Linked DNA regions of Xenopus tropicalis. The protein of the gene in region 1 interacts with the protein of each later gene in a pairwise test. Links are inferred from orthologs where the notes say so. Each region holds a gene or a part of one and is shown in the gene's direction. Other genes may lie near its edges. The genes, in order: trim54, ccdc146 and rabgef1.

Region 1 (8,753 bases):
TGCTCTTACTTTGTGATGACCAAAGACCCCCCTGTCTGTCAGTTTTGCCCCCTTCCTGCCAGCAGCCTCGCTTCCATGCGCTGCTCCCATCTCACTGTGTTATGCCCCAGGGGCACCAAGGATCCATTTGCCGTGGTGCTGGTGCCCGAGATTTGCCCATTATGCTGCAGCCATGATTGGACAGACCTTCTCTTTCATTGTGTTGGTGGGACTTCTGCCCCCCGTGTAGGAACGACCCCACCATAGCTCAGACTGAAACTGCCACTGGTGTGGGCATCAAGGAACGGTTGCTGTGCCACTCCCCATTCCAAAGAGCAATCAGTAACCAGCAACGCCCCCGAGGATAATTGACTGATTGCCCTCCCCTGCGGAGCAATCGGCTTTTCATTGGCCACATTTTATTGTGTTGGGACTGACTGACAACTCTGTACCTAGGTGTGACTGGCATGTAGGGCAGGGAGGAGCACAAAGAGAATCTGATCCCCAGCGGAGACTGGCACGTGGGCACCAATCGGCGCCATTGTCTGGTACTGGAAGGGACATCCAATCATTACTCACAGTACCCGCTCCACCACTTTTGTCCGGTGTGTGAATGGTCTGTGCCAATCCCAGAATTCAGAGCATGTAACCTGGGGGAGCACAGTCTGTGTTGCACATCAGTGTCATTGGATCAGACTGGATTCCCTGTAGCCAATCCTCTGCCAACAATAAACCCCTTCCTTCTCTGCCATCAGCACCCCCCTTCTGTATACGGTTTGTCTGTTATTAGCTGGTGATTGGCTGCTAAGATAAGGGCCGGGGACCTTCCCATAATCCCAAGTGTGAGTCGCTGTTTTCCTTACCTTGTGCCATGACCGGCACTGCCAATGTAATGTACCGAAAATCTGGGGCCCAGAGTCTGTAGGGTTCTGATGAGCAGCATCTGACCCAGTCTGACTCCTTCCTCTGTGTTCAACAACCAGCACTGTACCCCCCCCCCCCCTTAATATCTGCATGATTGCTTTATATTGGACCTCAGAACCCAGTCCCTGCCAGTGCTTAATGTCTGCCCCCCCCCCCCCCACATAGTCAGCGCTGAATAGAGCCCAGTGCCTGTGGTTCTGCTATATCTGCCCCCCCCACAGCCAGCGCTGAATAGAGCCCCAGTCCCTGTGGTTCTGCTATATCTGCCCCCCCCCCCCCCCGCACGGTCAGCCCTGAATAGAGCCCAGTCCCTGTGGTTCTGCTATATCTGCCCCCCCCCCACACACAGTCAGCGCTGAATAGAGCCCAGTCCCTGTGGTTCTGCTATATCTGCCCCCCCCCCCGCACAGTCAGCGCTGAATAGAGCCCCAGTCACTGTGGTTTCTGCTTTATCTGCCCCCCCCCCCCAGCCAGCACTGAGTAGAGCCCAGTCCCTGTGGTTCTGATTTATCTGCCCTCACCCCCCCCCCCCCCAAACACAGTCAGCACTGAGTAGAGCCCAGTCCCTGTGGTTCTGCTTTATCTGTCCCCCCCCCCCCCCACAGTCAGCACTGAGTAGAGCCCAGTCCCTGTGGTTCTGCTTTATCTGCCCCCCCCCCACAGCCAGTGCTGAGTAGAGCCCAGTCCCTGTGGTTCTGCTTTATCTGCCCCCCCCCCACAGCCAGTGCTGAGTAGAGCCCAGTCCCTGTGGTTCTGCTTTATCTGCCCCCCCACAGCCAGCGCTGAGTAGAGCCCAGTCCCTGTGGTTCTGCTATATCTGCCCCCCCCCCCAGCCAGAACTGAGTAGAGCCCAGTCCCTGTGGTTCTGCTATATCTGCCCCCCCCCCCCACAGCCAGCACTGAGTAGAGCCCAGTCCCTGTGGTTCTGCTTTATCTGCCCCCCCCCCCCCCCCACAGCCAGCGCTGAGTAGAGCCCAGTCCCTGCGGTTCTGCTTTATCTGCCCCCCCCCCACAGCCAGCACTGAGTAGAGCCCAGTCACTGTGGTTCTGCTTTATCTGCCCCCCCTCCCCCCCCCACAGCCAGCACTGAGTAGAGCCCAGTCACTGTGGTTCTGCTTTATCTGCCCCCCCCCCACAGCCAGCGCTGAGTAGAGCCCAGTCCCTGCGGTTCTGCTTTATCTGCCCCCCCCCCCCACAGCCAGCACTGAGTAGAGCCCAGTCCCTGTGGTTCTGCTTTATCTGCCCCCCCCACAGCCAGCACTGAGTAGAGCCCAGTCCCTGTGGTTCTGCTTTATCTGCCCCCCCCCCCCCACAGCCAGCGCTGAGTAGAGCCCAGTCCCTGTGGTTCTGCTATATCGCCCCCCCCCCCCCCCCCCCACAGCCAGCGCTGAGTAGAGCCCAGTCCCTGTGGTTCTGCTTTATCTGCCCCCCCCCCCCCCACAGCCAGCACTGAGTAGAGCCCAGTCCCTGTGGTTCTGCTATATCGCCCCCCCCCCCCCCCCCCCCCACAGCCAGCGCTGAGTAGAGCCCAGTCCCTGTGGTTCTGCTTTATCTGCCCCCCCCCCCCCACAGCCAGCACTGAGTAGAGCCCAGTCCCTGTGGTTCTGCTATATCGGCCCCCCCCCCCCCCCCACAGCCAGCGCTGAGTAGAGCCCAGTCCCTGTGGTTCTGCTATATCGCCCCCCCCCCCCCCCCCCCCACAGCCAGCGCTGAGTAGAGCCCAGTCCCTGTGGTTCTGGCTATATCTGCCCCCCCCCCCCACAGTCAGCGCTGAGTAGGGCCCAGTCCCTGTGGTTCTGCTATATCTGCCCCCCCCCCCCCCCCACAGCCAGCGTTGAGTAGAGCCCAGTCCCTGACTGGAGCAGAGATGTGCCAGTCATGCCATGTGTCTCTGCCAGGGGGGTGCCCGGGCACAGTAACTACCCCCCCTCTCTCTCATCAGCACCTTTTGCCATTTCTCACCAGCACAGAGAGGTGCCAGTACGGAGCTGGTGCCCATGTCACATTGTATGATTGTATGTTAGTGATTGGGGGGGACGGGAGAAGCCCCCCCCTCCCCTGACTCACCAATAAAATCACTCTCCCACACCCCATGGATATTCTGTTTTGTTTGTGGGGGAGACGGAGATGGGGGGACAGGAGATATATATACATAGTGCTGGCCAATATGTGCCCCCCCTGGGGGGGAACCCAACTTAATGTTTTGGTGTTTCTCATTGGCTGGGCTCTCACAGTAGCACCTCCCCTTTAATATATAACCTGCCCTATGGGAACAGTACTATTTCAGAAAATATACAGTATGCACCGTAACAAAGTGAGTGTGGCCCCCCAACAGCGATATTGAGATGTAACAGCCCCTAGGCACCCCTACAGCCCTGGGTGAGTGTGTGGGTTCTGTATGGGGGTATTTCTGCCCAATCACTGCCCATACAGACTCCCCCCAGTTCCATGTGACTGCTGCAAATCAGCCCATAGATTTCCCATGATATTCAGGGGGGGTGCGACCCCCCGCATAAATGCCTTTGTAGCTTTCCCACTGTGTTTGGGCTCATTGTGGGAATATCCAACCCCTGGAACTGCAACTCTCTGCCTGACACTTAGACATGATCCTGAAGGGTTGGTATTGGGGTGAATTCATCCGACCCTCAACTTTAACAAGGACCCCGGTCCCTGAACCAGCCCCACAGCATGATGGGACCCCCACCCAATGTGACAGTCGGCAGTGGGGGTTTCTGGGAAAGCGCTTTTTGTTATGAGCAAATAACGCCATTTGTGTCTCATCAGCCCAAAGCACTTTGTTCCCAGATGCCTGCAGCTAAATGAGCTTTTGCCCCAACAAGCGACGGTATGTGGGGCGCGAGGGCAGAAAGGGCTCCTTTCCCACCCCCCGGCCATCCAGATGGTCTTTGTGCAAATGGCGCTGTAGCACCAGGTACAGATACACCGTCTGCAGCAAGAAGTTCCTGGGGGGTGAGGTGGGATCTTTGGCTTGTCTGGAACCAGTCTCACAATTCACCCCCAATATTCCGCTCTTGGATGTTCCTTGACAGGCCAGACCTGGGTTTTACAGCAACTGTTCCTGTGGCCTCCCATTTCCTGATTACGTTCCTTACAGTTGGAACTGACAGGTTAACCCTCTGGGATCTGAGCTGTTTGTAGCCTCCCCCTAAACCCTGTACTGAACAATCTTTGCTTTCAGATCTATTGAGAGTTGCTGTGAGGATCCCCTGCTGTCACTCAGGAGAGTCAAATAGAAGCACAACTTGCAATTGGTCACATTAAATACCTTTTGGACACACCTGCCTGTGAAGGTCAAGGCGTAACGAGCTAATCCAGCCAATTAGGTGCTGCCAGTAATCAGTACTGAGCAGTTACATTCAGCACAGTTACAAGGGGACCCACATTGTTGCACAGACAGTTTTCCCATTGGGTTTAATCCCATACAACTAATGCGGCTTCACTAAATCTCTTTGTTCAGAAACCCCCCCAGGCCCCCCCCACTTATCTTTAGTGTTTTATTGTGCTGCCTGAGAGGGGTTCCTATATATATTATAGGGGGTGGGGGGGTGCATGTGTGTATGTATATATATATATATATATGTATGTGGGGGGGGGGGTGCGTGCCTTTGTTACTGAGTCATTGTGTGAGTGTGACTCACTATCAGCTGCTCAGTGAGTGTGTGACAGCTGCACCCCAGACTTGCCCCCCCCCCCCCCCGCTCCTTATCCCTGAGCTAAATATACAGCAGGAATGCCCCCCTGCCCCCCTGCCCCCCTTCCACTCATGTCGCATTAACTCTGCCTGATAGTGGGGGGGCACAGCCTGGTGCGAGGGGCTCTGTTAGCTGCTCAGCCACTGGCACAGAAGGGTTAATCATTGGGGGGGGGCAGGAGGAAGTGACCGGAGCCTCAACACTTAGTCTCCCAGTTTGTGTATCATTTGGGGAGAGAGTTGTGAGAGCGCTCAGGGCAGGACACCCAGTACCAGTAAGTGGGGGGCACAGAACTTGGGGGGCAGCTGGGTTGGGGGGTCTGGGTGGTTGTTACAGGGTTTTTGGGTGGGAACAGTAATTTTCAGGGGTTTAGATGGGGGGGTTGCTTGGTATATTGTGGGGGGGGGGTCACAGGACTGGGGATGTTGTGTGAATTGAGGGGGGGGGCAGGGTTTTAATGTTTTTTATTTAAAACTATACAAGAGAAGATAAACTCAACTGAGACCGACAGGCCGGGCAACTTACCCTCTACTGCCCACACTCCCCAAGCGCCTGGCACAGTGGCATCAGCCTGAGGGCCCCTTGGCTGGGGAAGCTGCTAAGTGTTGGGGGTTAAGGTTGTGGGGCTGGGGGCAGTGCCCGTGGTTTGGAGAGGCAGGGGGTGAGGTTGCGGGACTGGGGGCAGTGCCCGTGGTTTGGAGAGGCAGGGGGTGAGGTTGTGGGACTGGGGGCAGTGCCCGTGGTTTGGAGAGGCAGGGGGTGAGGTTGCGGGACTGGGGGCAGTGCCCGTGGTTTGGAGAGGCAGGGGGTGAGGTTGTGGGACTGGGGGCAGTGCCCGCGGGTTAGAGAGGCAGGGGGTGAGGTTGCGGGACTGGGGGCAGTGCCCGTGGGTTGGAGAGGCAGGGGGTGAGGTTGTGGGACTGGGGGCAGTGCCCGCAGGTTAGAGAGGCAGGGGGTGAGGTTGTGGGACTGGAAGTAGTGCCCGCGGGTTAGAACGGCAGGGGGTGAGATTGTGGGACTGGGGGCAGTGCCCGCCGGTTAGAGAGGCAGGGGGTGAGGTTGCGGGACTGGGGGCAGTGCCCGCGGGTTAGAGAGGCAGGGGGTGAGGTTGCGGGATTGGGGGCAGTGCCCGCGGGTTGGAGAGGCAGGGGGTGAGGTTGTGGGACTGGGGGCAGTGCCCGCGGGTTAGAGAGGCAGGGGGTGAGGTTGCGGGACTGGGGGCAGTGCCCGCGGGTTAGAGAGGCAGGGGGTGAGGTTGCGGGACTGGGGGCAGTGCCCGCGGGTTAGAGAGGCAGGGGGTGAGGTTGCGGGATTGGGGGCAGTGCCCGCGGGTTGGAGAGGCAGGGGGTGAGGTTGTGGGACTGGGGGCAGTGCCCGCGGGTTAGAGAGGCAGGGGGTGAGGTTGCGGGACTGGGGGCAGTGCCCGCGGGTTAGAGAGGTAGGGGGTGAGGTTGCGGGATTGGGGGCAGTGCCCGCGGGTTGGAGAGGCAGGGGGTGAGGTTGTGGGACTGGGGGCAGTGCCCGCAGGTTAGAAAGGCAGGGGGTGAGGTTGCGGGACTGGGGGTGAGCATGATCAGGGTGGGGTGCTGGGGCCTCTGTGAGTGGGTGGGAGGGCACGTGGTACTGTTGGTGGGAGGATTTAGGGATGAGGGGCCCTTGGGGGGGCACATATATACCCCCAGTACATCTTGCTGCCTGTTTCTTCCTAGCATCCTGTGAGGGGATGAATTTTGCGGTGGGTTTCAAGCCTTTGGCCGGAGACACCCAGACCATGGACAACCTGGAGAAGCAGCTCATCTGCCCCATCTGCCTGGAGATGTTCACCAAACCCGTGGTGATCCTGCCCTGCCAGCACAACCTGTGCCGAAAGTGTGCCAATGATATCTTCCAGGTACCCCCTGGGGCTCTCTTGGTCTAACCCCCTGTGTGTGGCACTAACGCTATGGGACAGGGGCCATTCTTACTGTTGGGGGGGTATCTCAGGGAGGTGTCTCAGGAGGTACCGGGATCTCATTAATGACTGCCCCCCAGCAACCACAATTGAAAAAAACATAACCTCTTTATTTTATCTCAGAAAACTCTGACTGGTCGCCTCCTCTGATTGGCCAGTGAATACAGTTGGCCTCCATTGGCTGTTGGAATTCACAGACCCCCTCACTGTGGGAAATAGGCCCCGTGATACAATGCCGGATCTATTTATAAATAACCTTGTGCCAACTGCAACCAAAGTAGAATTATATAAATATAAACAGTCAGTTCCTGGCACCGGGGCATCCGTCATGCTTTGCCCTTCCCTGTAACTGAATTCCCTATAACTAGAACCTGCCTTTCCTTCATGGCACCTCTCCCCCACCTGTATTAGAGACAAGGAACAAGATGTAGGAGACTCCATAGGAGGAGGAACAACATAGAGAAGAGTCAGTAGGGGGAGGAACAAGATGTAGGAGACTCCATAGGAGGAGGAACAACATAGAGAAGAGTCAGTAGGGGGAGGAACAAGATGTAGGAGACTCCATAGGAGGAGGAACAACATAGAGAAGAGTCAGTAGGGGAGGAACAAGATGTAGGAGACTCCATAGGAGGAGGAACAACATAGAGAAGAGTCAGTAGGGGGAGGAACAAGATGTAGGAGACTCCATAGGAGGAGGAACAACATAGAGAAGAGTCAGTAGGGGGAGGAACAAGATGTAGGAGACTCCATAGGAGGAGGAACAACATAGAGAAGAGTCAGTAGGAGGAGGAACAAGATGTAGGAGACTCCATAGGAGGAGGAACAACATAGAGAAGAGTCAGTAGGGGGAGGAACAAGATGTAGGAGACTCCATAGGAGGAGGAACAACATAGAGAAGAGTCAGTAGGAGGAGGAACAAGATGTAGGAGACTCAGTAGGAGGAGGAACAACATAGAGAATAGTCAGTAGGGGGAGGAACAAGATGTAGGAGACTCAGTAGGAGGAAGAGCAACATAGAGAAGAGTCAGTAGGGGGAGGAACAAGATGTAGGAGACTCCGTAAGGAGGAGGAACAACATGGAGAAGAGTCAGTAGGGGGAGGAACAAGATGTAGGAGACTCCGTAAGGAGGAGGAACAACATGGAGAAGAGTCAGTAGGGGGAGGAACAAGATGTAGGAGACTCCGTAAGGAGGAGGAACAACATGGAAAGAGTCAGTAGGGGGAGGAACAAGATGTAGGAGACTCAGTAGGAGGAGGAACAACATAGAGAATAGTCAGTAGGGGGAGGAACAAGATGTAGGAGACTCCGTAAGGAGGAGGAACAACATAGAGAAGAGTCAGTAGGAGGAGGAACAAGATGTAGGAGACTCAGTAGGAGGAGGAACAACATAGAGAATAGTCAGTAGGGGGAGGAACAAGATGTAGGAGACTCCATAGGAGGAGGAACAACATAGAGAAGAGTCAGTAGGAGGAGGAACAAGATGTAGGAGACTCAGTAGGAGGAGGAACAACATAGAGAATAGTCAGTAGGGGGAGGAACAAGATGTAGGAGACTCAGTAGGAGGAAGAGCAACATAGAGAAGAGTCAGTAGGGGGAGGAACAAGATGTAGGAGACTCCGTAAGGAGGAGGAACAACATGGAGAAGAGTCAGTAGGGGGAGGAACAAGATGTAGGAGACTCCGTAAGGAGGAGGAACAACATGGAGAAGAGTCAGTAGGGGGAGGAACAAGATGTAGGAGACTCCGTAAGGAGGAGGAACAACATGGAAAGAGTCAGTAGGGGGAGGAACAAGATGTAGGAGACTCAGTAGGAGGAGGAACAACATAGAGAATAGTCAGTAGGGGGAGGAACAAGATGTAGGAGACTCCGTAAGGAGGAGGAACAACATGGAGAAGAGTCAGTAGGGGGAGGAACAAGATGTAGGAGACTCAGTAGGAGGAGGAACAACATAGAGAATAGTCAGTAGGGGGAGGAACAAGATGTAGGAGACTCCGTAAGGAGGAGGAACAACATAGAGAATAGTCAGTAGGGGGAGGAACAAGATGTAGGAGACTCCGTAAGGAGGAGGAACAAGATGGGGAAGAGTCAGTAGGAGGAGGAACAACATGGAGAAGAGTCAGTAGGGGGAGGAACAAGATGTAGGAGACTCCGTAAGGAGGAACAACATAGAGAAGAGTCAGTAGGG
Region 2 (7,704 bases), on another chromosome or scaffold:
AGTTACATGACTTTAAAAGACAAGGAAACTGGATGTTCTGAAGGGTTTTCAAACAAGCATGTGTTAAGCCTGAGGGGAACTAGAAATGCCTGGGAAGCTAGAGGAAGATGGCGGCAGCCCACCCTATAGAGATGCTCCAGCTGGAGAGGTTTTGTTTTTTTTCAGAGGAGAATGGGCGGCCTAGGGTAAGGGATAACTAATTAAAGTCATTGGAAGGTGGATTCTGGCTAATGCTACAGGTAATGCTGTAAGATGCCATAGCCAGCCACTGTTTATTGGGCTGCTGGGTACTTGCAGGGTCTGTTTTAAATATCAGTCGAGACACAGATAGCAATACACAGTGGATGATTACAACTTCAGCTTGCAATTACAATTTACAACAATGCATGACTGTCAGAGGTTTGATAAAGGGAAACTATACCCCACTCTGGGGGTATAGTTTATCTTTAATTAAACTTTTCCTAAAAAAAATCCAGCATGGAAATGACCAATGTGTTGTTATGTTACCAGGTGCAAGCACTATGTACCTTAGGTGGCAGCTGTGTTGTGTCCATTACACCTTTAACAAAGAATAGCAAGTGCCATGCACATAGAATCGACATAACTGATACAATGGTACATTTGCATCAGCATCATAGATTCTAAGATGTTGTTATTCTCTTTGATCTGGGCTGTGTTGAATGTCATCAACACTTAAAGCTTTACCTGCCCTTCCTACAAATCCAGGCCTGGCCTTGCTATTCTTTGTACTGCTGGAACATTGTAGCAGAAGCTTGATGATTAACAGACCTGTGGGGGGTAAAGGCACACAGAGCTACTAGTAGCAGCTACTTGTCACAGCTACTAATATAGACAATGCTGATTGTCTCTATGTGTGTTTTAGCAAAAGCAATTCTCAGTATTGTCTATGGCAGGAGTTTAGTAGCCGTGACAAGTAGCTGCTACTAAGTAGCTCCATGTGTCTTAACCTGAAGACGCATGGGAGCCATTGGCTTCTAAGGGCTCTGGCACACGGGGAGATTAGTCGCCGCGACAAATCTCCCGTGTCTCAGGCGACTAATCTCCCCAAGTTGCCATCACCTGCCATCCCACCGGCGAAAGTGTAAGTCGCCGGTGGGATGGCACACGCGGCGGCGCGATTTCAGTGAGATTGCGCAAGTTGCCTCGAGTTGAAACTTGCGCGATCTCACTGAAATCGCGCCGCCGCGTATGCCATCCCACCGGCGATTTACATTTTCGCCGGTGGGATGGCAACCCGGGGAGATTAGTCACCCGAGACACGGGAGATTTGTCCCGGGCGACAAATCTCCCCGTGTGCCAGAGCCCTAATACTGCCTTCCTCCCTGCCACATGTATATTTTGGCATATATCCTCTTGAACTATATGTAATTTGTGTATGTGAGTAGATAGGTATGTATAGGTTTGTGTGTGCTGGGTTTACTTGGAAGGGTTGAACTTGATGGACTGGGCTTTTTTCAACCCTATGTAACTATGAACTGGTTTCCCCTCCTTTTGAGGGACACTGAGAATTAGGCCCTTCTCTCTTACCCTTCAACTTGATGGGCAAAGTCTTGTTGGCTGTTTAATAAATTGGAATGCTTGGACTTCTCTATTTAACAGCTCTCGCAGTGCAATGACAGAGTTGCTGAGCTGGAAACACAAACTGAAGACCCAGGGAAAGAATACAGAACCCGCCTGCTAGAAGGAAAAGATCCTTCCCTGCAAGAACTTATGAAAAAAACAGAGGAGGTAGGAAGAATACATGTATTCAAGTTACACATTGGTGTTAAACATCAGAATATGGGTTCACAATTATTCCCACCATCTGTATTTATTTGTCATAATTTGTTTATGGATCATGATAGAAATTGTGCTTAAATTTTCTCATGCGAGGTTCCAAGATCCAATAGTTACAGCATGTGTCCCTGCTAGAGCATAAAAAACACACTGAACCAATTTTGTGCATAATAATAATAATAATAATAAGTGATTTACAGAATTATGAAAAAAACTGCAGAAATATCTTTCTATTCTGTGTGTGGAAGTAAGATGCCCACCACGACAAAGTGTCACTTCGAACCTATGAAATCCCAGAGTTTCAATCATGTCATTTATTTTAGACAAATAATGTATACATATTAATTGTTAATTCTGCTTTCCTGCTCAAGAAAAAAATGTGATAATAGCGCTCTCAATAATGTATCTACACTGTTGGGATGAGGTTACTTGAAAACACTTTTCCAACAATGCAGATCTATTATACCTGTAGAGACAAACGAGCCTTCACTTATATTTCTTTAGCAGAAGTAAGAATGAACAAAGATGCCACATAACTCAAAATTATTAGGGTGACAATGTTTCAGTTCTGTTTATTTTTTAATTTAATTGCTCTTCACTGTAAATGGTAATATAATACAAGGTTTCAAAATGCCCAAAGTGGCTCATATCCCTAATAACATGGGGTTTATTGACATCTCTGCATTTACCAGTAACTTGATTAAATCCTTGCATGGCTTGGTATCTCACAGCTAGCTATATTTGGAAAGATAATTCACATGTTATTATTCAGAATCAAAGTAAATGACATAGACGTAGACTAAACCTGACCACATGTGGACCCATAATCCTGTATAATTGCTGCTGGCCATTGGTCAGTCTGGTTGGCAAAACATATTAGTTCACTGACACATAATCATAATGATGCGGTTAGAAATAAATAAAACAATAAGGAAGTTTGTGGGAAATGCTATAAACTATAAAAGTACAATGATTTACTGTGTATATGGCTGATTACCTACCACTACCTTGTGTTCACAGCTAGAGTTGCACCTTGCGCAGAAAGAAGAGCAATTATTGGAGAAAGATTTACTCTATGAACAAGTTTCCCACTTGACAAAGAAAATACACACAAAGGCAGAAAATGGAAAGCAGGACACACTACTGCTGTCTAAAAAGGTAATTGTTTAGAAACAAAATAGATAATGATTGAATGAAACAGACTGGTCATTTTTTCAAAACATTTTTGGATTACAGTCTTTGTCTGAGAAAATAGCGTCACCATGATAAGTGGGTATTTATTTAAAAAGAAAAAAAAGTTAAAGAAATCCTTGCCAGTAAATCTTGTGGCCACATAAAGAAAAAAAAAAGTAATGAATAAAGTTCAAACACACCCAGTATTCATCCTGTAATACACAGTAGCCATAAATATCCTGTAAGTTATATCCTTATAAATTGTGCTTGGTGATGTCACCAGTTATAATTGGTGCTTGATGATGTCATTTCTGTCATGTGACTCAGAGAAACCTGAGAGAGAGAGAGAAATAGACTGCCCAAATATGCCTCCAGGCCACCCCGGGCTCTTCTAGAGCAAATGTTTTCTAATTTAAACACTAGTTTTCACAAATTATTATGGCAAGATGTTCCAGTAGAGGCAGGGGCGATTCTAGACATATTGCCGCCTGAGGCGGCTCCTGCAATTGCGCTCTCTGCACTAGAAGAGCCGAATTTCCGGTTTAAAAACCAGAAATTCGGCTCTTAAAGTTACCAGGAGCGGCTTTTTGCCGCCCCTGGTAACTGGGGCGCTTCTGCGTAGAGGCTTGTTTTATAATGTGTGGGATTGTCATCAAACCACACTCTCCATATGTTTGGGACACAAGATATAATTGCTGCTAAATTAAATGCAAAGAAAGGTCCATGCCACTTTGTTCAGTACTGCTGCATGTCACTTGAAATCACCATGTCAGGTAAACTGAAAAAAAACCAACCAGCACAGGACTATATACATCATAGATCTCAGCACTGACAAAATATAAACAAGAGAAAACATAATAGTGTAAAAACTTTATTAATATATGGACACATGCAGGGATTAGGCATTGGACATTATTTTAAATAGTTCAGAAACTGTTAAGATCTATAAACTACCTAAACCTATTACAAGTGGGATAGCCTTAAAGGAAAACTATCCCCCAGTATATATCTTATTATTACAGTTTGGTAAAATTCTATATCGATAAATATTGCTCTTACATCTTTTTTTGTCCGTTTTCTATTTAGGATCCTATGGCACATACTGTACTGCTAGAAAAGTATATTTTTATGAAAATGGTTTATTTAGATAAAGCAGCGTTCCACGTGAGAAGTTTTTCGCAATATATTTATACAGAGATCTGCAATGTTTAGGGGGTACAACAAACACAGGGGTCACTTACAAACACAGCTGTAGTTGCGCAAAAATGTATGCATTAAAAGTACTTGCGTGAAAACACACTACCTGCACTTAACTATCACAAATGCACTTGGTGCACCCAACCTACCTCCTGTTCTAAATAGAACAAGTGCACCTCCTGAGCCACTGATCTACTGTTTGTTCTCTGTTCTGATGCTCTATTTCCTAGATCTTCCTATATGTATAAACTTTTATTTTAAGCCAGTGGGATAAATGAGCTCCTTAACATGGAAAGAGGCAGTAAAACTTATTTTTTTCTTGGTCATATTGCTTTTTGTTTATAAACTGCCTATATTGGCAGATGAATGAACTCCACAAGAAGATAAAGAACACAACGCAGAAGATGATGTCTCTGATTGCAGAGTTATCAATGCAACAAGCAAATTCTATAAAGCTTCAGGAAGAATTAAGGAACAAGGAAAAAATGGTGGAGGCTTGTCATACCAGGATGGAACAAGGACTTCCGCCTAGTGAAGGGACAGAGAATGAATGGAAAAAAATGATAAGAGATAAGCATAGACTCCAAAAGGAGAAGGAAGACAAAGCCAGAGTAAGTAACTATATACAGTAATCCCAGTTGGTTTAACTTTATATTACAAAACTTGGTGGGAAAATTCTAATGCTGTCCATATTCTAAACCCACCTACATTGGAATTAAGCATCATTAAGACTCATTTAGTAGCACAAGTGCTAAATTGTACCACTTTATTTACCAACACAAACAATCAGACAATTGATTTAGCAGTCTAAACAAAATGAATTGCTTATTGGTTGTTATTGGCAATTACATTACTACAGTTTGGCACTGTCACTTTGTAATGGTGATATAAGCCTCTAGAATTAGCTTTCAGTGTGAATTGGATTTCCCATCACTAACTTTTGTCTGATTTGGAAGCTAGATTCCATGAGTAAATGTGCATAGACTCAGACATGAGCCAAAAATGCTGGTCCTAGTTTGCAAGGCTAAAAAAATCACAAACAGGAGAGCCACTCTACCCAACCCACCTCCAATCTCCCCCCCCCCATAACCTATTCTCTCATTCTTTTAGTCTTCCTTTCCTTCACTTTTGTAATTTATGCTTTATACTTATTATAATCTGTACTCTGTACACGTGAATAATAATGGTTGTTATAAAACTTTTAAATAAAATGCTGAAAAAAAAAATCACAATCAGAAATTTTGCAGTAGATAGTTGGATTTTTCTGTTGTGCGAAATCTATACACTTTTCTGCCTTCTTTGCCCACACTTTGCAATTTTCCTCATGTGCCAGTACACTAAAGTAAGTAAATGTGCAAATCAAACAGCGCCTGGGGAGGCACCCTGATAGGAACTGATAATGCTGCACATATCAGAAAATCATTACATAACTCTATAATTCCATAGAGATGAATATTCTGTGTCCATAAACAAGATCTGCAACTTCTAACATCTGTTGCAAATTTGAATGACCTTGCATTCAATCTACAAAGAAGCCCTTAATATGTATGTCTGCCATTTATTGCATGGTTGTGTGTAGACAGCTAAACGCATAGACTATCTAGCGGAAAGGTGAACACAATCCAAAGCCTTAGTAAAATGTTACTTCTGAGTTTATTTTTTTTTTTACATCATATACTTGAATAGGAAATTACATACAAAATACAGCATTCTAAAATGTCTTTATATGCTTTCTCAACATCTATTTTTCACTTTATTCCTACAAATGCATGCATCTGCCTCAGCCTACATAAGATATCTTACATTTAACCTCTCATGTCACTATAGACATTTTGTATGTTGGCATTTCATAATAAAAGGATCACAGACTCAGTATCTAATGGCTGTAAATATTCTCTCTTGTAGATGGCTGAGGAGGAGGAACAGCATTGGTTGCCTAATGGGGCATACACTACAGCTGAGCAACGCCCCAATGCCTACATTCCTGATGACGAAAGTGCTCTTCCACTTCCCCGACCTTATGGAATTTTAGCTCCTTTCAAACCCAGTGAAACTGGTTCCAATATGAGGCACATAAGGAAGCCAATAATAAAGCCTATTGAAATATAAGCTAATATACAACTTATCAATGATCTGCAGCAACAATCTTCCTTTATTAATACCAGCATAGCACCTGTTGTGCCCTTATACAATGAGATAGTGTCTTTTAAATTGGAGCTGTAAAGGCACAATGCCCTTGCCCACTTCCTTTGCTTGACAGTGCTACTGCTTTGCACCATTTTGTTTAATATAAATTGCTTTTATTTTCCTTTTTTCAAACAAACAAAACAATGTATAAGAGAGAGGGGAGAAGAGAGTGAATGGGGGGGGGGGTGAAAAAGAAGAGAATAAGTAGTAGAGAGTTTACATATTTTGCTCGCATTGGAGTTGGTGAGACATAGGGACTTAGCATGGTGGGTCAGGAGTATCTCCTGGCTCTGCACCATTTTTGGCCATGTCCCTGAAGATGGTGTATTGTTTTATGAGAATTATTGTATTGTTTTACATTCCAAGAAAACCAAGTGACTTTGCCTTTCCTTCTCCTTTAAAAGTATAACACTTCAACAGTTAGTGACTCAGTGATAAGAACTTATTGAGCTGCTACTAAATTTAAAAAAAAAAAGTTTAACAGGAAATGGAAAACAACTGTAGAAAGTTATTATTTGTGGTGCACAAGCTGAAACCAATACGTTTTGTGAAGGTTATCTGCCGCTCTAATGGCAATTACAGGAACAGTGTGTTTTGGCCAACTAATTTTTCTCTTTTAAACTGCTTTTAAATTGCTTTTTATGACCCTCAGGGTCCTGTGTAAAATATTGTTGGTTGTCACATGATGATTGCATGAATCTGTGGATCTGAAGATGTGCCCACTTTTGAATGTAAGTCTTGTGACAATCACATATGGTGTCAAATTCTAATGACAATAGATGGTGATTTCAGGGCATTTAAAGTGGTCTTTAAACAATTAAAAACATGGTAAAACAAAAAACACCCACAATTTTTGTGATCTTTAAAGGAGAAGGTAACCATTTTGTGCCAGCCATTGTGCCAGCGTCTGTGTAGCTCTCTACTCTCTCCAGCTCCCCCCCCCCCTTAGAAATTAGTGATCTGCGCCATACAGCAGGAAGCTTCCTCATAGTCTTACTAACTGCGCATGTACAGGGGTCTTGGTGCAGGAGTGAGGCATTATGGGAACTTTCTTTACACAGCTCTGGATTTTTTTTCCTATGAGGCTTCTGATCATCTGAACAGGAGAAATATGGGGAGACTTAAGGGCACTATTGAGAGGACTGACATTAACTCTTTATTAGCCTTTCCTTCTCCTTTAAGATAGCAGCTGCCATTTTAGCTTGGTCTCTGTAGCTTCTGTGCTGCAGATCTGGCTGCTGGTAGCTCAGATTACATAGCACAGTTGTGAGGGGGAGAGAGTGAGAAGCAAACTGAGCAGACTCATGCCGTGCCCTAAAATATTTTTCTGAGAGCAGGAAGTCTGACTGG
Region 3 (8,653 bases), on another chromosome or scaffold:
AGGTTTATACAGATTTCAATCCACACATTCCCTTCAAATTACATAGTTAAGTCAGATTAAAAAAAGATCAAAGTCCATCATGTTCAACCCATCCAAGCGATCCCCAGCACATACACATAGACCCATACTGATCTGTCTGTACACTCACATACTAAAACTATATATAACAACATCAATACTAACTGTAGATTTTAGTGTCACAATAGCCTTGGATACTATGCTTGTTCAAGAACTCATCCAGGCCCCTCTTAAAGGCATTAACAGAATCTGCAATCATAACATCACTTGGAAGGGCATTACCCAACCTAACTGCCCTCACTGTAAAGAACCACCTATGTTGCTTTAAAGTTCTGTTCCCCTAATCTAAAGGGGTGGCCTTTGGTGAACTGATGCTGGCACAAACTTATAGTCTTGTGATTTGCAAGTATCCTATCCCTTATTATCCTTTCCAAAAGCTTTCCTTCCACTGATGTCAGACTAACAGGCCTATAGTTTTCAGGCTGAAAATGGGATCCCTTTTTTTAATAAGGACACCACATTAGCAATTCACCAGTCTCGCGGCACTATTCCAGACCTCAATGAATCCTAAATAAATAAGTGAATAGGTTTTGCAATCACAGAGCTAAGCTCGGTTAGTACCCTGGGATGAATACCATCCTGTCCTGGACTTCTGTTTACCTTTACATGTTCAAGTCTCTTTTGAATTTCCTCCTTAGTGACCCATGCATCAGTATGATAAAATATGGTTACATAGAATCTTATGGCCACTTATGTGACACTGCTCGTATAAAAAAATCTTATATTAAGTCTGTTTTAGAGCAGTTTAGTGTGGCAGTGGAGATGCAAAAGAGCTGCACATTTGCTATTCGGGTAGCTCTGTAAATTAAATGAAATCATCACTACTCCAAGACAATTTAGCGCACACAAAGGGAAAACATCCTTTTCAAACAGAATATGCGCTAAAAACACTTCAATTAATTACTGGGGGTTGCCCACCAGTTAATATAATCATTGACCTCAGACAGGTCCCCCTCTGGGGGTGGTACTATTTTAGTGAGCTCCATATTACCAATTGTTGTGCCTCCCAGGGATTCTTGGTAGCTGGTCTGGACTGCACATACAGTACATAGAGTATAATGAGAACTTAGATGCTAAAAGCTGAACTTTTTCTCTGCTGTGCATGCACACAGCCCAGGGTAGCCGCAATGATCCAGCAAGGAAACTAGATGGGTCTGGGTTGCCTAACCTGTGTTTGTATCAGATGACTATTGCTTGAAATCTGCATTTTCATTATGCAAAAACAAGTGTTATGGCAGAATAGGACAAAGTGCTCACCAGTTTGGCTTAAAGGTGAAGGAAAGGCTAAGTCACCTGGGGGTGCCAAAATGTTAGGCACCCCCTAGTGACTTTAATCGCTTACCTTGTACCCCGTGCTGGTGCCCCTGTTAGGAGAAAACAGCACCAGCCCGAGGTGACTGCAGCAAGCACTTCCTTCTGTCGTCAAAATCCCTGTGTAGTAGAGTGAAAAGCTGACATTTTTGTTAAAGTTCGGCTTTTCATTCTACTGTGCAAGTGTGCGAACAAGGAAGAAGAGCTACCCCGGGCTGGTGCGGTTTTCTCCTAACAGGGGCACCAACCCAGGGTAAAAGGTAAGCGATTAAAGTCACTGGGAGGTGCCTAACATTTTGGCACCCCCAAATGACTTAGCCTTTCCTTCTCCTTTAAATCTGACCTTTGTGCAGTCATTCCTTCTGTGTAATGATCAGTAGAATAGATTTACCAGCATCTCCAAAAACTTCTGATTGGAAATAGTCAAGGCAAATACATGGGAAGGAGTCATTTGGTTAAAATTGCCTAAATATGCTAGACCCACTGCTATATAAAATATAGCTTTAACCCATTTATCTCGGGGCTGTTGTTTAAACATGTATTATCGTAGTTGGAACTAGTCTTAGTTAAATGATGCTTCCCCATACACAAGTCTGGGGCCCCTAACAGCTCAGTTTTAGGGAATGCAGAATTTCATTAAGATTGTTATTATTCCAATAATGTTTATTTTATAATACTTAGAGATGCACTGAACCCAGTTTTGGTTTGGCCGAATACCGAACCGAATCCCATTTGGGATGGTTACATTTTACACTTCCTTGTTTATGCACCGCATTAACCCTTCCAAATCCTAATTAGCATATGCTAATTTGGATTCGGATTCCATTTGGACAGGACTGTGGATTTGGCTGAATCTGAACCCTGCCAAAAAAGGCTGAATGCTGGCCGAATACTGAACCGAATCCTGGATTCGGTGCATCCCTTATAATATTTATAACATCAATAATAATCACTATATTCTTACCTTTACCATCTCAATGGATCAGACAGTGTAGCATATTTTTGGTACATGATGGATTAGCCTGTAAAAGTAGTTCTTCCCAGTTGTTCACAAACAATCCTTTCAACTTACTACATTGATAGTCCTATTCAGTAAAAATGTTTCCTTGTAGTTAGAAACAGCGGGAGCTAATGTGGGATGGTCCAGGCATGAAGAAGGCTATAAAGGTTGTTACAGGTTTCCCTGGTGAGAAACAGGACTGTATCAATCAAATGGCATATGTCCAGGAGCTGCTGTGACCTTATGCACTTTTTTCACTGGATAACAAAATATGATTTCATTTTTGGTGGTTCTTAATTGGCTAATATATCCTGTATGTCCTTTTTTACTTATCCTAGGAATCAAATATTGACGAACAATCTGAATTTACCCAGGACTTTTATCAAAACACAGCAGAGAAGTTGCAGATGTATTGGAAGGGTAACATTCTTTTTGTTGTGATGATTTTAAAGATTGGAAGCATCTCATCCCAAACCTGGTCTACATTCCTAAATATTTGTGCATTTTTTTAGTAGCTTAAGATAATAAAGGGTGTACTATGTCATGGATTTTTTTTGTTTGTGGAATTGGGTCCTGTTAGAAAAGCTAGTTTTATTATGATTTAAGACAGACTTTAGATTTAGTACTTTAGGGAAGACAGTGATAGTGTATTCATTTCACGCATGAATAAAGTAGTGGTTGTTTAAAATATACTTAGTAAATCTAATTTTATTATGTGGTGGTCACGTCTAACTAAACTCTTGTTTATCAGAGTATCTAATGCATATTTTTTATGGTTAGCAATTCAGAATCTGACTCTGTTTTTCTAGAATTAGACATTTCGCTTTCTTTCAAAATGCCCAAATATCTGCTTTCTGTGAATGAAAATGTTATACAGAACAGAAGCTGATTCTATTTTCAGTGTCCCCTGATAAAGTTGAGAAAGTGACGGATCAAATTGAGCGGTTCATAATGACTCGTCTCTACAAGCACGTGTTTTGCCCAGAAACCACAGATGATGAGAAGAAGGACCTCACAGTCCAAAAGAGAATCCGGTATGGGGGGGCGCTGGTTCCTTTCACATTAGATCCTGCATTGTTAGTCTGTATTGGCATTAGATTATTAGATATTATAGCTAATCTTATAAATATCAAGGCTCCTCCCACCACAGCTATGGAACTAATCACCAACAAATAACTAGTTGATAGTATATTATATGTTAAACAGATGAGCAATGCAGAGAAAAGGGTAATCAGAGCATGAATAGAGGTCAAACAAGGTCACAACAAAAGGTAGATAAAATAAATATTTTTTTTAATAAAATGCTTTGAAAGGTATCTTACTAGCAAATCTTGTGTCCTTTAGGTATTTACCACATACCTAACTTTTTAATCTTTTCTCCACAGGGCTTTACACTGGGTAACTCCTCAGATGCTTTGTGTTCCTGTAAATGAAGATATCGCAGAGGTGTCTGACATGGTGGTAAAGGCTATAACAGGTCAGTGTTACTCATAGCATTCTGTATCTTTAAGGGTGAAGACACACTGAGCTACAAGTAGCAGCTACTTTTTCATGGCTACTAAACTCCAGAAAATAAATACCCTGCCATAGACAATACTGAGAATTGCTTCTGCTAAAGCACACGTAGAGACAATTATCAGTAAATGATTAGCATTGTCTATCTTAGTAGCCACGATAAGTAGTTACTAGTAGCTCTGTGTGTCTTCACCCTAACATAGTTTTAAGCAATGTGGTATCCCTACAGGGCCACTACCTAAAATCCACCAAGCTGCCTAGAGACCTTAACAAGACAGTATATTGGAGTGTACAGAATTATTAATGGAGTAGCTGAAGTCAAAAAGCTGGGAGGATCCTAACATTACATTTACCCTTTAAGCCAGAGTAACTGAACGTGACCATAATGTGACTTCCCTTCCCAATGCTCGTCAGTCTGCAGCATTTACCTGTGCATGCATATGTGATTGGTTGATTTTTTTCCTTTTTTTATTTATGGCATTTACATAGCAGTGCAGAAGAAAAGAGCAAACATGGCTGCTTTGTGGAGCAGTAGTTGATCCACTCCTAATAGTAATGCGACCAAACTTTGGATTTGATAAATAACATTTTATAAGTGCATAACATAAACACAATGGCAAGTGTAAAAACAGGTTTAGTGGGTATCCGGGTCACTTTAATGGAAAAATATGTCCCGTTTTTTTTTTTTAACCATTGAGTTTTATTAAGAAACAGATTACAGACATAGTTTCCAGTCAGAACATCAAAGGAGAGATCATATGTTACAAAGCATATATCAAACTTTTTGTGACATAACATGTGCTTTGGTGGATCTCGCTATAACAATACATACCCTGTAATTCTGAGTTCCACTGTTTTTGTGCTTTATAAATCTACAATTAACTACTACCTTAACACAACTATAAACTGTGCATTGCCAACGCTTGTTTCTAGACCAGAGTGATGGGATGGAAGGACCATTGTGTGGTAGAGATGGAGGGGAGGGGGGAGGGGATCAACACTCATTTTTTGTTTCTGATACTAGGTTGCTCTGTTATCGGGGTGGTATCAATTTCCTATATTGTGTTTGTCTAGCCACGAGGACCAAATTTTCTCAGATTTATTTGGGCATCCTCTTCTGACATATAGCAATCTATATGTGGGCATTGCTTGGTTGACTTGGCTTACCCAGAATTGTATGGATGGAGCTGAGTGGGCTTTCCATTTCATTGTGATAGACTTACGGGCATATGCTAACAGAATAGAAATGAGAGCTCTTTCCGCAGTTGTTGGGGCTAGATCAGTAGTTTGGTTTAGTAGCATTCCGGATGGTGTTACCGTGATGGGGGCGCTGGTTAGATCAGATATATAGTCTGCCACCTCTGTCCAGAAGCTCGCTATTTTGCTGCAAGTCCAGACCATGTGGATGAAATCTGCTGGGGATTGGTGGCAGCGGGGGCATTCGTCTACCTGGGATGGAGATATCTTTGCTAGTACTTTGGGTGTGATATATGCCCTGTGCAAGAATTTATACTGTATTAGCCTGTCTCTTGAGGCCACTATATAATCAAAGGGTTTCCTTCCATTGCTCTTTATTCATGTCTGGTATATATATTAGCCATTTGTTATAGAGTTTGTTTAATAAGGTATCATTAGCCAGTGCCAAAAGGGCATAGGAGCGGGAGAGGGCCTTGGCGTGTGGGCAGTTGTGTGCTTGTTTTTCTATTCGGGAGGGGGTAGTTTGTAGGGTTGTTCCTTGAAACTGTGAGTGTACTGCATGTCTCAGTTGTAAATATCGGAAGAGCATCCTATTTGGTAGGTTAAAATTATTTTTTAGGGCCTGGAAGTCTAGAAGTTTCCCTTCCTTAACTATATCCTGTATATACTTGACTTGGGAGCTGGCCCATAGCTGGGGGTCTGGTAAGGTTTGGAGGTGCTGTAGTTTGGGGTTGCACCAGAGCGGGGTGAGTTCAGAGCAGTGGTTTTGTGGTTTGGGAAAGAGGCTGAGGGCGGTATTCCAAGCCCATACTATTTCTTTCATGAGTGGGGTTGCTTTTGAGGTGTAGGAGCAGCCCCTATATAAGAGGTTCTTTAGCTCTTCGTATGAGCCCACTGTCTGGGCTTCAAGGCGTGTAGCCGGGTTGTCCAGGGTTGGTGCTGCCCACCAGTTTGCAGTGGTTAGTTTAGCGGCTATATAATATAGAAAAAGATTTGGGGCTGCTAAACCCCCCGCCTGGGTTGGAAGTTGAAGTTTGGCTATGCTGATTTTGGGTGTGGAGGGGTGCCAGTATAGTTGTATAAGGAGCGCCCTGATTTTGGTGAAAAAACTGTTGGGTATTTTTGTGGGTGATTGGCTAAATATGTATGTAAATTTTGGTAGCATTACCATTTTAAAGAGGTTATACACAGGGTATATTGTTACTTTATCTGGTCCTCACAGCTTTTTATAGGTATTGAACTTTATGGCCTTTTAATGTGTTAAATAATTACTTAATTTCTCCACTAGATGGCAAGCTAGAACAACTGGTAATCTGTTTTCTTCATTGGTGCTGCCTTGACTTCATTTAGTGCAATGAAGGAAATGTGTTAAAGGAACAGTAACACCAAAAAGTATAAAAGTAACTCAAATATAATGTGCTGCTGCCCTGCACTGGTAAAAGTTGTGTGTTTACTTCAGAAAGTCTACTATAATTTATATAAATAAGCTGCTATGTAGCCATGGAGGCAGCCATTCAAAGGAGAAAAGGCACAGGTTACATAGCAGATATTCTGCTATGTAACCTGTGCCTTTTCTCCTTTTTTCCAGCTTGAATGGCTGCCCCCATGGCTACACAGCAGCTTATTATATAAATTATAGTAGTGTTACTGTAGCAAACACACCAGTTTTACCAGTGCAGGGCAACAGTGCATTATATTTTTATTACTTTAAAGCTCTTTCATTTTTTGGTGTTACTGTTCCTTTAAGTTGGCCATACACAGGCTGATTCTAGCTGTTGATATCGGTCCCTCAGACCGATTCAGGAGCTTATCAGCCTGGGTATGGGTATTAACGCAAGGCCTGCCCGACCGACATCTGGCCTAAAATCGGGCAGGTTTAAAAATTTAGTCTGATCTGGACTGCATTGGCTCGTTGATGCGGTCCCCGAACAGACGGACGCCCATACCTGGCATTCTAATTTGATCATTTGCCCCCAGAGCCAAACAACCTAATTAGCCCGATATTGCCCGCTCGTAGGTGGGGATATCGGGAGAAGATCCGTTTGCTTGTCGACCGCGCCAAGCGAGCGGATCTTAGCATGTATGGCCACCTTTACTTAACTTGCCTTCAAATCTGACTTTTAAGCCCATTCGTCATCCTTATCTTAGTCAGTTATCATATATATCATATATATCATATAAAGCTCTGTTGTAAAACATGAGTATCCTATAAATAAAAGATTGTAATATCAACCCTTATTGCACTCCAAAGGGATAAATATAAATTAAGCAAAAGGCTTGTGGGGTTTTTTTCATTACTGTTCTGCTTATGGTGCCGCTACCCACCTTGGAAGCTCCAGGGGTCAACAAGTGTCTGCAGTTAGCACTTGGAAACACACACTGGTGATATTTTAGTGCTTTTCCAGGTAATGTGTGAACAAAGCTGCTTGCTTTTCATGTGAATGTGCAGTTAGAGATTGGAACAGATTATATGCTCATAACCCTTCTGTTGTTCACCTTTAAATAAACTTTTGATGTAGACTGTGATATTCTGAGACACTTTGCAATTGGTCAGAAGGTTTTATCTGTGTTTTTGTAATTAGTTAGCTTTTTGTTCAGAAGCTCACCAGTTTGGAATTTCAGCATCTATCTGGTTGCTGGGGCCCAAGTTACCCTAGCAACCCTAGGCAGTGATTTGAATGACTGGAATATGAATATGAGAGATCCTGAATAGAAAGAAAAGTAATATAAAACTAACAACAATAAAACTGTAGCCTCACAGAGGGCTGCCAGTGTTAGTGACATTTGAAAGCTTAACAGAGTCATAAGAAAAAGGCAAATAATTAAAAAACTCGAAAAAAGACCAATAAAAAAATTCTCTATTCTATAGTAAAAGTTTACTTAAAGGTGAACAACCCCTTTAAACTGAAAAGGTTTATAGTATCTCCTTCTGTAGAACTGAGTACGACTGTCTAATTGTGTCAGTATTTACTGTCATTAAACAGTCATTCTCTTATGCTAATTAAGTATAACTCACAAAAAGCTGTAGATACATGGGTTTTTATGGAAAAAAAATCTTTTATGAGAGTCTAAATTTCACACATTGGTATAAGGCAATAAGAACTCCTGTCACTTAAAAAAAAAAAAAAAAAAAAAAAAAGAATTTTGACAAATATTCTTTTCTTTTTAAATTCTCTTCTCTGCAGATATTATTGAGATGGACTCAAAACGTATCCCCCGTGACAAACTTGCTTGTATCACACGCTGCAGCAAACACATCTTTAACGCTATCAAGATCACAAAAAATGAGCCAGCCTCAGCTGATGACTTCCTGCCCACTCTCATCTACATTGTTCTCAAGGCAAATCCACCTCGCCTGCAGTCCAATATTCAGTACATCACTAGATTCTGCAACCCCAGCAGACTGATGACTGGGGAGGATGGCTATTATTTCACTAACCTGGTGTGTGTGCAAAACAGCTCAAATTTTTCACTACATCAATTTAATGTATAGATGCTTCTCTCTTGCACAGAGCCAGTCCAGTTAAAGGAGATGGAAGGGTAGAATCACTG

Evidence for each region.
Region 2: the proteins of trim54 (region 1) and ccdc146 interact in binary tests that used the Homo sapiens proteins (3 or more experiments, as listed by UniProt). The two-hybrid records come from large-scale screens. The link is inferred for Xenopus tropicalis from reciprocal best matches to the Homo sapiens genes TRIM54 and CCDC146.
Region 3: the proteins of trim54 (region 1) and rabgef1 interact in binary tests that used the Homo sapiens proteins (3 or more experiments, as listed by UniProt). The two-hybrid records come from large-scale screens. The link is inferred for Xenopus tropicalis from reciprocal best matches to the Homo sapiens genes TRIM54 and RABGEF1.

The regions. Positions count from the first base shown.
Region 1 is NC_030681.2:162,397,327-162,406,079, reverse strand, and holds the start of trim54 (tripartite motif-containing protein 54), read left to right. Parts: upstream 1-4,729; 5' UTR 4,730-4,890; intron 4,891-6,325; 5' UTR 6,326-6,339; coding exon 6,340-6,507; intron 6,508-8,753. UniProt on the Homo sapiens protein: May bind and stabilize microtubules during myotubes formation.
Region 2 is NC_030679.2:78,142,310-78,150,013, forward strand, and holds the end of ccdc146 (coiled-coil domain-containing protein 146), read left to right. Parts: intron 1-1,620; coding exon 1,621-1,749; intron 1,750-2,817; coding exon 2,818-2,955; intron 2,956-4,529; coding exon 4,530-4,778; intron 4,779-6,072; coding exon 6,073-6,276; 3' UTR 6,277-7,355; downstream 7,356-7,704. UniProt on the Homo sapiens protein: Essential for sperm flagellum biogenesis and male fertility.
Region 3 is NC_030678.2:48,711,066-48,719,718, reverse strand, and holds part of rabgef1 (rab5 GDP/GTP exchange factor), read left to right. Parts: intron 1-2,727; coding exon 2,728-2,809; intron 2,810-3,290; coding exon 3,291-3,423; intron 3,424-3,774; coding exon 3,775-3,866; intron 3,867-8,286; coding exon 8,287-8,543; intron 8,544-8,653. UniProt on the Homo sapiens protein: Rab effector protein acting as linker between gamma-adaptin, RAB4A or RAB5A. Involved in endocytic membrane fusion and membrane trafficking of recycling endosomes. Stimulates nucleotide exchange on RAB5A. Can act as a ubiquitin ligase.